Bombyx mori: one gene and its partner. The protein of the gene in region 2 binds, or shares a complex with, the protein of the main gene of each other region. Links are inferred from orthologs where the notes say so. Each region holds a gene or a part of one and is shown on either strand. Other genes may lie near its edges. The genes, in order: protein Dr1 and transcriptional adapter 2A.

What was found.
Region 1: transcriptional adapter 2A (region 2) and protein Dr1 share a complex: the UniProt entries of both Drosophila melanogaster proteins name them as parts of the ada2a-containing (ATAC) complex. The link is inferred for Bombyx mori from reciprocal best matches to the Drosophila melanogaster genes Ada2a and NC2beta.

Annotation. Positions count from the first base shown.
Region 1 is NC_085110.1:7,488,468-7,495,790, reverse strand, and holds the end of protein Dr1, read right to left. Parts: 5' UTR 6,687-7,323; coding exon 6,446-6,686; intron 6,339-6,445; coding exon 6,175-6,338; intron 4,717-6,174; coding exon 4,567-4,716; 3' UTR 4,552-4,566; exon of another isoform or gene 4,486-4,551; intron 3,612-4,485; 3' UTR 3,190-3,611; downstream 1-3,189. UniProt on the Drosophila melanogaster protein: Bifunctional basic transcription factor. Activates transcription of DPE (Downstream Promoter Element) containing promoters while repressing transcription of promoters which contain TATA elements.
Region 2 is NC_085111.1:1,073,264-1,081,658, reverse strand, and holds transcriptional adapter 2A, read right to left. Parts: upstream 4,268-8,395; 5' UTR 4,260-4,267; coding exon 2,961-4,259; 3' UTR 2,951-2,960; downstream 1-2,950. Other genes in the region: cysteine-rich protein 2-binding protein, read left to right, coding at 236-354, 1,375-1,556, 2,278-2,358, 4,268-4,360; DnaJ-5 (dnaJ (Hsp40) homolog 5), read left to right, coding at 6,759-7,580, 7,815-8,048. UniProt on the Drosophila melanogaster protein: Component of the histone acetyltransferase (HAT) complex ATAC; predominantly involved in acetylation of histone H4, including at Lys-6 (H4K5ac) and Lys-13 (H4K12ac).

The DNA of each region.
Region 1 (7,323 bases), on a different chromosome or scaffold from region 2:
TTATACATTTTGTAATGCGCCTTAGTAGAATGCTAGATTGTGACGAATAATATTAATAGATACCAAATAAAATACAAATATTGAAATAAAAACGGAAATTTGCGCAACTTTGAATAGGTAATTATTATTGAAAGCAATAAATTAAGCAACCGACCAAATTACAATTCCCGTAAGTTATATGTATAGAATACAGATACTAGGTTATCCAATATATGTACAATAACTTAAGGAACAATCACGATTGGACTGGATAATTTAAGCCTTTTTTATTTAAGCCTAGTTAATAATATGTAAGTATTAATGTTAAGTGTGTAGTGATTTAACAATAATTGCATTACTGAATACGAATACATCAGTTTGTAGAACTATAATGCAAATAGCTACTCCAGGCAGCGGCTTGACTCTGCCCCTGGCATTGCTGAAGTCCATGGGCGACAGTAACCACTCACCATCAGGTGGGCCGTGTGCTCGTCTGCCTACAAGGGCAATTAAAAAAATTACAAGTATTCTCCGAAGTTTAGTGCAATGTATAATTATTATTCTTACTAAGATTTTTTTTACTACTTTTGATTCTGGGTTTCGTTGTCCTTGAGATATGAGTTCAAAGTTAGCTTATTAGATGTCGAGTATCTGTTAAAACGGAACCTATATTTGCTCGCACTAAAAAAAGGCATTGTAGTCGTACCTAATTATGTGTTATTTTCCATCAATACCTAATTATATAAACAAAACTTCTAAAAATATTGAAATAGAAGCATAGATTATGCTGCTGATAATGATGATTGATAGGGCCGGTTTCTCAAGCCAGATAAGATTTATCATTTAGAATATAAATCTTGACTTGATTGAGGTAGTGTATTATTTCGATTGCTGCTTTCAGAACGATTGCCTTACATCCTTTATAGAAAGATGAGAAATATTACAATCAAACGCACCAGGGTTGGTATTAAACTTACCGTGTGATGTCACAGCATTCTCGTAAATACCGTATGTTGAACATAAGATTCATATTATTGTAAACGGACAATTTCATTCAAAATAAAGCTTTAAAAATTACCTACTGGACTTTATAATTCCTTAACTTTCCGTAAAACTAAACGAAAGATTTACCAGGGGGAATCGCTAGATCGAAAAATTTTACAATCTGGATTTTATGATAGATGCTAGTTAAATTTCAAACCGGCACTTGATTGACCTGTATCAACGACGGAACCTTCGTATGAGGAAGTTACGACGAATATAGACAGTTTTTTATTAATGTATTAGATTTTTTTATTCAAGAACAATAGCATCTTTTTATTTTCTAAGTTCTGGTATGCAACAGAGAGGGAATGCCCATGTTCGCCTTGTAGTCTGAGTTTTTTAAAGTATAAATGAAAATTGGTTTTTAAATTTTCAATCATAAAAAGGACCTTATTTATACCTTCCGGACACTAGCATAACTAGAATATAACTATTATTCCAATGCACACAAATCTTGTTTGGCGTATTGATGGCATTATTTACACAAAACGAAAACATTACCCACATGGTATCGGGTTGCCAGCGTGCCGCTCTTTAGGATATGCACTATGCAGATAGGCAGGGCTAGATAGGTCAATTTAGATAACCTTATTTTAAAGCTTGATAAGACCGTCCGGGTGCCTTATTGCTGAATGCTTCGATCAACAATAGTAACTAGATAAAGGGATACGTACAAAATTAAAGCAACAACTGTCCGCGTGAATATATACTTATATAGCTACATTCGTTTACTAACAAACGGAGAAAAAAGTTTTGAAACACTTTTACGTTCAAACTAATAACAACTATGGCACCTAGAAATAAAGTCACAAATCTCCAAAACATTATCTAATACTTACGATCATTCGTCACATAAAACGAGCAAAGCAATAAATTACTCCTGTCACTTACCAATAAAAAGACATATTTTAAACAACTTTTAATGTTAAATCAATCTTAAAGGCAACAAAGTAACTTTTCCCTTAATTGCTCTGAGAACTAACATCGTTTTGCTTTATTTATTTTTGCTTTATTTATTTTTGCTTCTTGAAATGCCGATTTCTATTTACTACAGGAGGTAAGGGAGTCGCGCTTAACACTAAAATAATTTATTAATGAATTAAAGTAAAAGTTTAGTTGTTTACTTTTTATGTTTTGGAAATGTATGTGTGTTAGTATCTATACATTACTTATTATTTTATTAGCGTTACGTTTTTGTGTAATATATATTTTTAAGTTTTCGCGACCAGTGCACATAATAAAACAACGTTTAAACGGTTTCAAGCGTGGTTTTTTTATTACAATGTTTCGTCCCGTTTCAGTAGCCGTGAGCACGGAAGGCAAAGATGTCCAGTGTCAATAAGCGGAGATCTTAGCTGGCTTATAAAAGTAATCTCTTGTTTCTCTGGCGACAATCGAGATCCATTCTGCACACGTGATTGCTAGGAAAGCTAAAATAAAAATGGAAAGCTAAGTATCTAATGAGAGTCCAACAAACAGACACAAAAGCAGCATTAACCAATTTTAACCAACTAATTTTGATGTGCTGCTAACAAATTTTAAAAAATTATTACAACATAAATCTACGCCATGCATTTACTGTTCTGTTCAGCAAAAGTTTGTCCATGTGTTGGCCGAGCCTTGGCCAACATTTGTAGCGGTGGTTAAAAATCGGTAATTTTGTTCAAAATTTAATATTATTTATAAGTTTAAAGCTTACAATATAGTTTATACTTCATGTACTTACCGAAAGTAAGATATTCCGGCCGTTAAATTGCTTTTTCGGGCCTTATTTTTGCAACTTTTGAATACACACTGCGGTATTGTGAGACGGGTTGACATTGGCTGTGTTTGAAGTGAACTAAACAAAATAAGAGCTCACATTTCAAGTGCGCTGTTATTTGACGAGACGGATTTTATGCACCGACCCGAAATCTAGTTACTATTGTTGATCGAAGGCTGAATGTGTTCTTGAAACTTATGTGTAATTACTTTTTTAAATCATAAACAAGTCCAGTCTTAGTCTAGCTAAAAGTGAGGCCATTGTTTCACTACTTTTGTACCAAATTTTGTTCTAAAGGTTGGTAAGAAACTCCGCGTAAACTGTTTTAAAACCTAGTTTATTAATTAGGTACATGATACTGAAAAGGGTATACCTTTTAATCGTGTACGAAAATGTAAAGACAGTTATTTTTTACATTATATGTATATTTTATAATTTTACTAATACTACATTTATTTCTTCATTTATAATTAACAAGTGTTTGCGTGTGTTTGTATCGACCCACTAATTATAACTAATCGTTTGATCAACTAATTTGATTTGATAATGTAGTTGTGCTAATAATAAAGATAAATAGCGAGTTACAGCTCATACAAACTTCCCAGTTTCCTTCAGAATTTGGACTGCCAATATACATATTGTTACGCGCTGGGGTTCGGGATAAATAAAATTTTACCGAATTACATGTTATCACTGTATTCAACACTTAAAACACTTCACAAACACTTTAAAATTCTCAATTCGCTTCTTCCGCTTCGCTTCGAGTAGTTCCGATTACTAACTGCCTGTCATATCTGCAACGCTCTTATACGCCGATACCACATCCCTAAAATTATCAAGAATATTCCACAAAAGTCTAGTATTGTGTGTTTCCACTATCTGACAATAGATGGCGTTGTACTTCTCGAACGTTCTAGGTGCTACTAGATCCTTCCCTATTCGTTCGACTATTCGGCGAAAGATAGCGTTACTCTTACCGGCGTAACAACATTTATGTCAGTATACCCACTAAAATCGATCGCTTTTACCTCTTACATTAATTTTAATAAATTTGGGAACATCTGTTACTATTAACATGTCAATCAACGCCGTATTTTTGCATAGATTGGTGGAAGAGCTCATGGCCCACCTAGTTTTAAACGGTTACCGGAGCCCATAGACATCTACAACGTAAATGCCGCCACTCACCTTGAGATATGAGTTTTAATTCTAAGGTCTCAGTATAGTTATAATGGCTAACCCACCCTTCAAACCGAAACGGATTACTGCTTCACGGCAGAAATAGCCAGGGTTGTGGTACCTATCCGTGCGGACCAACAAGAAGTCCGACCACCAATAATTACGCAGGATTCGAACACCAGTGTATCGCTCAACACAAATGCACCAGGCGTCTTATCCTTTAGGCCACGACGATTTTGACTAAATAAAGGCAAAACATCCAGCTTAGTGAACTTTTAGAAGAGACAGTGGTATACTTATTGTATAACCATGTATTAACTGGCATCATAGTTCATACACTTAATAATTGGAATTTCACTATGCACTCTCTTCAAATACGCCTCATTATATTATGGTTTTTAGGTTACATACTATCAAGTTTTAGATTCATCTTTAGTTTGAGAGCGACATAGGATCTATAGAAGTAATTTAAAATTTAGTGTGAAATTTTGTTCACATTAAGTAAATTTAAATTAAATACATGACACAAACAACATTTATATTATAACACAGCCAGAAACAAAACTGTCATAATATTAAACAATAACCTAATTAAATGTTTCTTATGAGTAATCATCATCTTCATCATCATCAGTTCTTGGAGCAGTTGTAGGTGGTACATATGGTTGTGCATTTCCTTCAACACCAACAAGTCCTTGTTGTTGTAGTAAAAGCCACTGTTGCTGTTCTTGTTTTGCTTGTTCCTCACGGGCCTGTGTTAAATAAAGTTTAATTATAAATTGGGTATTTTTTAAAAGTGAATTTTTTTAGGCGCATTGAGAGTAATATTTAACTCACGATAGTTAGGCAGTTACTTCGTTACAGCTTGAGAGAAAAGATACAATTTAAGAGGAGCGAGAATGAGAAAATAGACAGATCGTCTCGCAAACCACTAGACCTTTGAGAGGGAGATAGTGAGCTAGGTCGTTTCTCACACATTCTGTTTACGAGCGTCGGCCACTAGATGGCAATAAGATAATGACGTATATTTTAATGGAGGATTTATAAGAAAAAATATTTTTTTTTATATATAATTTAAAACATATTGATGCTTGAAAGGCAAACATGACTAAGCGACAATAACTGCTTTGTACATAAATGATAGGCAATAACCATATTCGACTTGCAAAAAATATATATTTCTAGGTCTATTAAAATAATTTCAATCCTACAGCTACTAGCTAGATTCTACTACAGCTAGACTCATTAAAATAAATTTTGTTGTCAGGTATTTCAACTTTAAATTAGTCTACTGTAAAGTTCACGCATTGTCGCTTAGTCACATTTGCCTTTCAAGCGTCGATATATAAAAGGATAAGAGGTCATTTCTCGGAGAGAAATTTGATTTAATGATTAAAAATTAAGAAAACCACATGGACTAAGTTAAACCAGTCATAAAAGTTAAACCAGTATATACACAAACTATTTGCCATGAGATATAATTATATTAAAATAATATCTACAATTGGTTCTCATATTGACCATAAGTAATTATGAAAATGTGGTTTTATCATACTCTGTCTCCTGTTAACATATCTAACAAAATAAGATATCAAATACAGGGGCTTGCTCGATTCCATATTTTTTTATGAACACTTTTTTCCTACTTATTTTCCCAAAGCTTAAGAAATACAACATCTAGGTTATTACAAAGTGCTTACTCGAGTTTGTTCTATATGAACCTTGATTGAAGCCTCAATTGTATTGTTTAACAGCTTGTATTGCATGATTGCTGTTACACCTCAAAGGGTTAGGTTAATAAGTGTTCTCTAAAAGTTCCTGTACATTCCTGAGTAGAAAGGACTAAAGTATGAAGCTTAAGCTGACATTTAAATGGGGTGATTACTTTGAATTAAATTGAATCAAATTGGTTTTTTTTTGTATGGTCTATATAACAATCCCATCCTTATGTTGTTTAAATGACATTAGAGACCAATTTATTATTGACCAGTTTGTATGAAGATCAACAAATCCACATCTAATGTTTACATTAAATGAATTGAAACATAATTGCTCTATAATATAAATAGGGTTTATTACATATGTCGGATTAGTCTGATTGGTTTGGTAAGATTGTTACTTCATTTTTTTCATTTCAAAATCATGACCACAGACACATTTTTATTGAATTTCATAATGGTTAAGAAAATACTGATTTAAATTGTTTAAACCTTTGCAAACAGTTCTTGTTGTTGTCTCAATAATTCTTCTTCTGGAATGCCTAAATTCTCAAGGCGTGTGCTTTGTCGTCTTCTTTTAGCCGCCACTGCTTTACAATCTTTTAAGACAGCTTCTGCTTCTATTGTGTAGTCACTAAATCCTAATCTGTCTAGGGCTGAAAATTAGTTTGATACTGAAGCTTAAAGTTAAATTCGTAAAAAAAATATGTTCGTGTTCCTTATGATAATATTAATTGTCTTTTAACAATAGTGAAATATATACCTGTAAGGACATGTTCTGCATTAATTGTTTTCTTATTGCTTTGATTACATACTTCATTGGCTTCAGAACTAATCAAATGTATGAATTCAGTGCAGCAATTTAGGATTAACTCCCTTGACTCGAACGCTACACGAACAGAAGGCACTAACTCTTTTATCATTTTATTTATACTAGCTCTTGGTAGAGTCAGTTCGTCCTCTTCTGAAGGTGGTGGACAAAGTTCACGCTCTGGACTTCCCATGGTAACGAATTTATGAACGCCCACTTCTATTTTTTTGTGGTAGCCTTTGGGCCACTTTGGGCCATTAAGTGTATAATCTATGCTTTGGGCCACTTTGACTCTTTTTTTAAGAGATTTTATGACCTGGTAACTAAGACCTTTAAGTCATGTCTTATTTTACTTTATATTCTTAATTTTATGAAAAATGATAATATGGAGTGAAATGAAATGAAGATGATTAATTTGAGACATTAATCAACTGGGATGAAATTTAATGAAATTAAATGATATGGGATGAAATATAATCGCAGTAAAATGGTGGTCATTTACTGAGATTTTTTCAGTGGACTTTTTGGAGGAACCTGAGAAGTTACGTCCAGCAGCTTTGTTTCATTTTCCCACATTTGTGCACTTTCACAGATATTAAACAGTTAATAAACCACCATTATTACACATTTAAACCTGAAGAAACACTAAATAGACAAAATAAAACAAATCACACAACTTCACTCCTCGCGTTCCCGCCAAAAAGTCTTCACTTTTACTCTTTTTTTTAAGAGATTTTATGACCTGGTAACTGAGACCTTTAAGTCATGTCTTATTTTACTTTATATTCTTAATTTTATGAAAAATGATAATATGGAGTGAAATGAAATGA
Region 2 (8,395 bases):
TGACTTGGTGAGTCACTTCCATGTATGTGATGTAGGGATATGACAAAGGCAGGATCTTCCACGGCCCGAATCTCATTGTTCGAAACTTGTACACATATATTGCAAACGTCTCTTGAAAACGACATTTTGTATTTTATGTTGGCTACCGCCACATGTGACGCAAGCAGCTAATGGTAAAGCTAAGTTACTCAACCCTACCGAAGTTGTAACGTTATTAAAGTTAATTTATTTCCAGGCACATAAAAGACTACGAGCCACCCGCACGCATGTCCATTGACTACTCCTACGTCCGTCCGCAGCACATCGCTGCAGTCAATAATTTATGTGCCCAATTCTTCTGGCCCGGGATAGACTGTAAGTGTAATAAAATACCAAAACATTTCGACTGGATCTATTATGTCACAACGATCTGTATTCTCACAGCTTGGTAACCTATTCACAGTGAGGATATCTATACTAATAAGAAAACTATTAAAGAACATCTGTGCAATAAAGCTTACTATAAAGTCAATGATAATCTAGAAGATTGCACAAAGTGGGAATGAGTTGCTCGCTCCGGGCATTTCAATATTGTAAAATTGTTATGTTATAATTCCTTTTTGTAAAAATGAATATTTAAAAAAATCTAATATTCAAAAATAATAATCTAATATTTAAAAAAACAAAAAAAAAAAGACATGCCCGCTGAGTTTCTTGCCAATTCTTCTCAGGACGGAGGCTAATTCTCGTGAATTGGCGGTAGTTTTGACGTTCAACAAGTATGCACTTTCATTTATGTTGAATAAAACTTTTTTGATTTGATTTGATTTGATAATATATAAATCTACAGTGGTTTTTACGGATGTTCCGTTATAACTACTGAACCATGCATCCGATTGACTTGAAACTTGGTATCCATGTAGAAAATACATGTACTTAATGGATAGGCTAATATTTATATGAGTGTTGGACTCCCTACACCAGTTGCGGGGGCGTCAATGATGAGAATGTTTGTGGGGGTGAGAAATAATGATGTTAATTTTAAATGCCCAGCGAAGCGGATGGGTACAGCTAGTTGGTTTACATCAGGCTAACAATTGTGAACACTCGTATACATAAACATACAAGGTTCAAAAACTAAAAACATCGCGGTACCGTGTCTGATCACGCTTTTTATAGACATCTGCAACGTAAATGCCGCAACCTACCTTGAGATATAAGTTCTAAGGTCTCAATATAGTTAGAACCCCCGCCCTTCCAACCGAAACGCATTACTGCTTAACGGCAGCTATAAGCAGGGTAGTGGTAACTACCCGCGCGGACTCACAAGAGTTCCTACCACAAGTAATAAGGGAAATTATAATTTTGCTTAGATATGTTTGTGATGTCCGCCAGTAACTGAGGCCCTGCAGTACCCAGAGTTCAGCTGCGTAGTGACGTACGGACGCCTGGTCGTGGGCTGTGCCTTCCTGGTGCCGGACGCGGGACATTCCACCGCGTACATCTCCTTCGTGCTCACCAGGCCGGAGTGGGGCAGGGCCGGCATAGCTACATTCATGCTGTACCATCTACTTCAGGTATACTCGCCCATGAGGAACAGTAAGGCGGACATTTATTGCGATATTTCAGGAAGATGGATCTGGTTACCACATAATCCAGTCTCCGTAGTGGAGAAACTTTCTTTAAAAAAGAAAGTTGTATCTCCAGTGAAGAACATACGAAGTAAGAACATATCGCCAGATCTTAATACGTTGACTGCCATGTAGGTCACCGGTGCCCTACGTGGCGCACTCAAGTAATTATGTCGATTTCTCTCTTTTCTATCTTCTTACTAAGGCGCTGAAACATCTCGTAGTCGCTGGGAAAGAATTCGAAGATACTGAGAATGAATATATTTCTGGAGACCTAAAATACTAAAACATATTATATTAAACACAAAAGAAGGCAAAATTAAGCAATCCCAGCGCTTAGTAATAGAGATCGACATAATTACCTCAGTGCGCCGCGTAGGGCATCAGTGCCCTACATGGCGGTCAACGTATTAATATAATATTAATTCAATCAGTAAAACGGATCATGATATGGGTTGCATGGCAACGGACACAAAACTGTTCATTTTTTTTAAATAAAGAAGGTTCACCCTGCATTGAATACTGGTGACTTCAGGTCAAAGTTAGGTTATATATAATCTTACTCTATGGGTCAAAGTATCAACTGCATTGTATGTTTACCTTAAATTATTTGCTAATATAAGGTTCAGGCTTAAGTGTTGTAGACAATTACCTTTTTTACTTACAGACTTGCACGGGCCAAGATATCACACTGCATGTGTCACCAACAAATCCAGCTATATTTTTATATCAAAAATTTGGCTTCAAAGTGAGTATCATGAAAACCCTATTTCTCTGGTATTATGGTACAATGTATTATCAGCATATTATGATACATTATGAATATCACTCAATGTATTGTAATTATTATGTAAACTTATCTGGAGTTTTACAAAACTGCTTCACGCCAGAAACATGCTGATGCATAGATTAGTCTACTATTTCAAAGCTACTAAAATTTTGACCTCATACCTCATATTACCAATGTATCTATGTATCTAACTATTTTCATCGCATTTTACACTACCACATTATTTGTTGATAATGAATCCAAAAGTAACATTTTGTGCACAAAGAACAGACAAACAGACAACGTGAACTATGAATATTTCATTTCTGCAGTTGGGCTTCTGAGCTCACACCCAACTCACCTATCCCAAAGTATTGTAATGTCACTGCTCTCACACTGTTCAAGTTATATTGAAAGTATGAATACTTTAAGACTAAAATAGGCACATTAGTGGTAGAAATACACACAGGCTAACAATACTTTGTTGCATAATAATTTTCGATTGATAAATAGTTGACAAGTGTGTGTATCTGCAATTCAGCATAGCATATGTGGTGTTAAATGATACCAATTTGTCATAGTCACAATGGTTTACTTATAAAACCTTCATATAACAAATAATCATAAATTTTCCTAGTCTTATTTACATCTATTTTAACAATTTTCCTTGCATCTAAAAGTCGTAGGAATCCAAGCTTACTGTTCTGAGCTATAAGATGCTCTTTTATTTCCAAGTAGTTTGTTGGTACAAGCCTCAAATTAGAACATAGTACTTGTTCAGCCTCACTCAGCCTGTGGAAACCTGGCAAGTCAATTATTTCTAAGGGCATTGCCATACGCTTGTAACGCAGCACTTGGTGGTTTTTTGTGTACATAGTCTTCACTGGTGATTGATTTTCAAATTTCTTGGCCATAACACATGTAGCATACTTTTGTTCTTTCATGATTATGTCATTTTCTTTTTTAAGTTGCTTATAAAGTTTGGCAGTATAAAGAGTTTTTATACCATTCTTACGGTATTCACATAAATGTCCAATTCTCTGTAACAGCTCGTTCTCTAAGCTCATGGATTCCATGAAAGCGTCAAACTGTATTCCTGTCATGAACTGCATGAAGCAAAGCAATCGTTCTGCTTTCTGTCGTGTTATAGTGAGGTCAAACTTTTGGATCCATGAGAAAAGCTTATTTGGCATTACTAAGCCATGATTCTGTATAATTTTATACCTTCTATGTCTTTCTCTTAATCTTGTATTAAGAGCATTCACTAAAGACACCTTTAAAGAATCCATCATGTCCATTTCATCCTCATCCTCATCATCATCTTCAGAGTAACTGTCTTCAATATTAAATATGCTTTCAGCATTGTGATCATAACTGAATTCAAATTCAGATCTATATGTATTGTAACCAGCTAAATGTTGATCTGAACTGTTATTTCTAGGCGGATTAGTGCTTACATCTGTATTGTACAAGTATGGAGTAATTGGCATTGGAAAAAGTGACTGTTGTGTTTCCTTTAGTAATCTCAATTCTTTATACTGCACATTCTCTATGTAATATTTCCTATAATGCTCTTGACATTCGAGTTTAGAACGTGTGTGCACATTCTTAGATATTTCTTCCCAATTTCCGAATCCGTATGTAGAAAGTGCTGATAACAATTTGCACTCTTCTTTAGCAGACCAATTGCAATTACCGAATAATGGAAAATCATTTCTTCTTATCGCGTATTTGTGGTCATTTTTATGCATTTCTGTTTCCTTGCCGGATGAAAAACAAGGAGTGCAAACATTGCTTTCGCACTCGCAACATTCGATAAAAGGCTCGTGTGCGACTTCTGAACACAAATCGCAGTTCGTTTGTAGTATATCTCTGGACATTATTTCAGGTTGAAGAACTTATACAAGACTTTTATGAGAAGTACTACGACATCGAATACAAGGGATGCCGGCACGCGCTCTTTCTTCGACTTGTCAGATAAATAAAGTAGTACTTTAAAAACCTTTATTTTATTTACAAACAAAACCTAATAGTCTAACTATCACTTACCTATTGAACAAACTTCAAAAATTCAAAAACAAAAGAACTAAACACCTACATTTCGATAGAACTTCACGCACAGATCAGTTGTTTATTGGTTTACAATAGAAGATAGTGATTTTTTTCTATTTAGTAAAACCGGTTAAACTATGTAATGTTAGGGATTACTATTTCAGCAAACGTTTAGAAAATACAATATTTAAGTAAGTACGGTTCCTACATAATAGTAGTAGTTTTATTTTTTCAACTGAAAAGTCAATGGTATCATACCATACAGCCTAATCTTTTATAATTCATTTTATATGAAAAATGATAATATGAAGTGTAATTAAATGAAGTTGATTAATGAAACATGGCATGAAATGAAATGAGGTTGGATAATATGGGATAAAATATAATCTCAGTAAAATGGTGGTCATTTACTAAGACTTTTTCAATTGACTTTTTGGAAGATCCCGAGAAGTTACGTCCAGTGCCTTTGTTTCATTTTCCCACATTTGTGCACTTTCACAGATACTAAACAGTTAATAAGCCACGTTATTACACATTTAAATCTAACAAACAAATCACACAACTTCACTCCTCGCGGTTCCGCCAAAAAGATCTTACCTTTTTTGTTCTTGCCCTGTCATACATACATAACTTTATTCAAAATAACTACATATCTCGGTGAGTAGGGATGGTGATCAGGGATTGATTTCTGTTTAAATCGATCTTTTTATCATTATAATAGCCAATCCATCTAGGACATTAGCAAATCAAAATGCATTTGCAAACAGGTTATCATCATATCATGTGTGAAAATCCATTATTATTGGAAAATGAAATAAAGTTGCTGAACGTGACGTCTCGGGTTCTTCCAAAAAATCTATTGAAACAACGCAAATTGATGACAATATCAGTTAATAAACAAATTCATTTCAATCCGATCCATTCCATTTGACATCAAAGCATCGATATTAAAAAAGTATTTTAAAGTCGGTGCTGGTGACATTACACGGAAAATAAAAAAAAAGCGAATATCGAAAAAATATATTTATGGGCAGTCGATTTTCTCTTTTTCGAGAAGAAGGATCATTCCTACTTTTTCATATATCTGTACTTATGTCTTTGTCAACGTTTACTATGTATCACTGCTAAATATCTGTTACGACTTCATACTTAACTCTTAGGTGTGTACTTATAGGTAAGGAGAACTATCTTAAAATGAGAGACAAGTTGAAGAAGCATCCGGCTGTAAGCAGCAAATTGCAATTCAGAAAACTCATTAAAACAGGGCTAGTGTAGCAAATGGATGATGTAGAAATTGTAAGGGAGTGAAGTATGCTTAGTTGAAAAACTTTCTGGGCTATCTTTAAAATTACACCACTGCCTACGATGGCGCTACCCTAATTGGTCGCCTTTCGACGATCACTTTTTCATACACAGAAAACCATTTCTCGAAAAGTATGGACGGTAAAGGCAAACAGCGGGTGATGCTTACAGCTGGTTCTGCTTACCTCTAACCTCCATACTTTACCAGCAACGAATAAAACACAGTGTTTTAGTTTACTTAGGAAAACTGGGTAACTAAATCCAAAATGTATCATTTGATTAACCCGCTATGATAGATGATGTTCTTCTTTGATAAGCTTCCTTAATTTTTGAATTTGTTAACAGTAGATCTAATAAAAAAAACAATCTAAAAGATATAATAAACACTAGTATCGCTTTAAAATAAATAATCCCCTTTTCAGAATAATCATTAAATAGATAATATTTTGAAAACATGAACAATTAAATATTGCATTTTTTATTTATTAAGTCGTAACAGAGAACATGGTAAAATAAAAAAGAAACAACGAGAACATACTGACATTTATAATCGGGTCGAGATTCGAGAAAATGACGTGCCCATTAGCCGATGAACATAGAAATTTATATTTGTCTCTTTTTAACATTAGCTAGTTCATATTGCTTTCTTTTTATTGCATCTCGCTCACGTCACGGGTGAAGGTCCTAGAATGTTCTAGATGTTTTGATGTATATATTTTGGTTCGACGAGAGCGCCGCGTTTCATTCAATTGTGATATTGCTGAAGTGAAGTGTTGAGTTTTGCGTTGTGATTATTTGCTAAAATTTCGTAAATTGTGCTTAAATTATCAAGGATTAAAGTTTCTCTAATACAAGTAAGTGTTCTGAAAATGCTATGTTGATTTTTTTCATTTAAAAACCGTGGTTTTGTTATAAAATGTGGTCTATCAAATTTATGAAACGAAAATGATCGACGAAATCGTGCTTCCAAAAAAGGTGTCAAACGTCGAGACTGATCTTTTTTTTTTGTTTCAGTACAAATCAAAATGGGCAAAGACTACTATAAAATATTGGGAATAACAAAAGGTGCTTCGGACGATGACATCAAGAAAGCCTACAGAAAATTGGCATTAAAGTACCACCCGGACAAGAACAAGGCTGCGGGCGCAGAGGAAAGGTTTAAAGAAGTGGCAGAAGCTTATGAGGTTTTATCGGACAAGAAGAAAAGAGAAATTTATGATGCGCACGGCGAAGAAGGCCTAAAGGGTGGTATGGGCGGGCAGAATGGTCCTGGTGGCGGTCAATCATTTTCCTACACGTTCCACGGCGACCCGAAAGCAACGTTCGCGCAGTTCTTTGGTTCGGCCAGCCCGTTCCAGGAATTCTTCGATCTGAATGGAGGTGGAACTACAACGTTCTTCGACCGCGACATGGATGTGGATATGGATCCTTTCAGTAACATAAGCATGGGGCAGGCGCGACCAGGTGGCCCCGGTGGTGCTTTCCGCAGTCACAGCTTTAATTTCCATGGTTCACCTAGTAGGAAGGAGAAGACGCAGGACCCCCCCATCGAACACGATTTATACGTATCATTAGAAGATATCGCCCGTGGTTGTGTCAAGAAGATGAAGATATCGCGACGTGTAATACAGCAAGATGGTACCTCGAAGAAGGAAGACAAGGTGTTGACCATACACGTGAAGCCTGGCTGGAAAGCTGGAACTAAGATTACCTTCCAGAAAGAAGGTGATCGAGGTCGTAATAAAATCCCAGCAGACATAGTGTTTATCATCCGAGATAAGGCACATCCACTATTCAAGCGAGAAGGCAGTGACATAAGATACACAGCTAAAATCTCACTCAAACAGGTATGTTAAGTTTCTTGTGCATTTCTGAACTCAAAAAGGTTTTGTAAATTTCTGTTTTTAATGGGAATAACACACACTAACAAAATTAAAACAAAGTACCTACCATAAGTTGACTTATAGTACTGTATAATAATTTTATTATAATTGACTAATATAATTTAATTAACTAGGCAATACATCTTATAAGTGGTGAGTCATTTATGGAAATTAATAACTTATTTAATCTTGTTGCAGGCACTCTGTGGCACAACCATTGAAGTACCAACTATGTCTGGAGAAAAGTTAACAGTCAACTTACATGGTGAAATAGTAAAACCTCACACAGTCAAAAGGTTCCCAGGCTATGGACTACCGTTCCCCAAGGAACCCACAAGAAAGGGTGACCTGCTTGTAGCATTTGACATCAAGTTTCCTGAACGCTTAACCACAGGAGTCAAAGAAATATTAATGGACACTTTACCTAATTAAAATATTTTGGATCTCCTTTGGATCAGATTTAAGTATATAATGTCAATTCTGATAGCAACAGCTCGAGGGATTGACAAATTGATCTGTCAAAACCGTGCTGATCAGGCCTTCAGTATGTGTTTGCTTGGTCAAAAGGAGGAAGAGTTTCTTGAGTTTTGGCGAACCAGAATCTTTATATACTCAAACCTAAACTGAGACTGGACATTTTAGGGCTTCTAGAACATTGTGTATCATGTTGCTGCCAATTGTTTTGTAATGAGTGAATGGATCAGTATAATTTGTTAATTACATTGTTCTTCGTGCGTTCTAGTACGACGAACGAGTGTGTCTGTGAATGTGTTTATTTA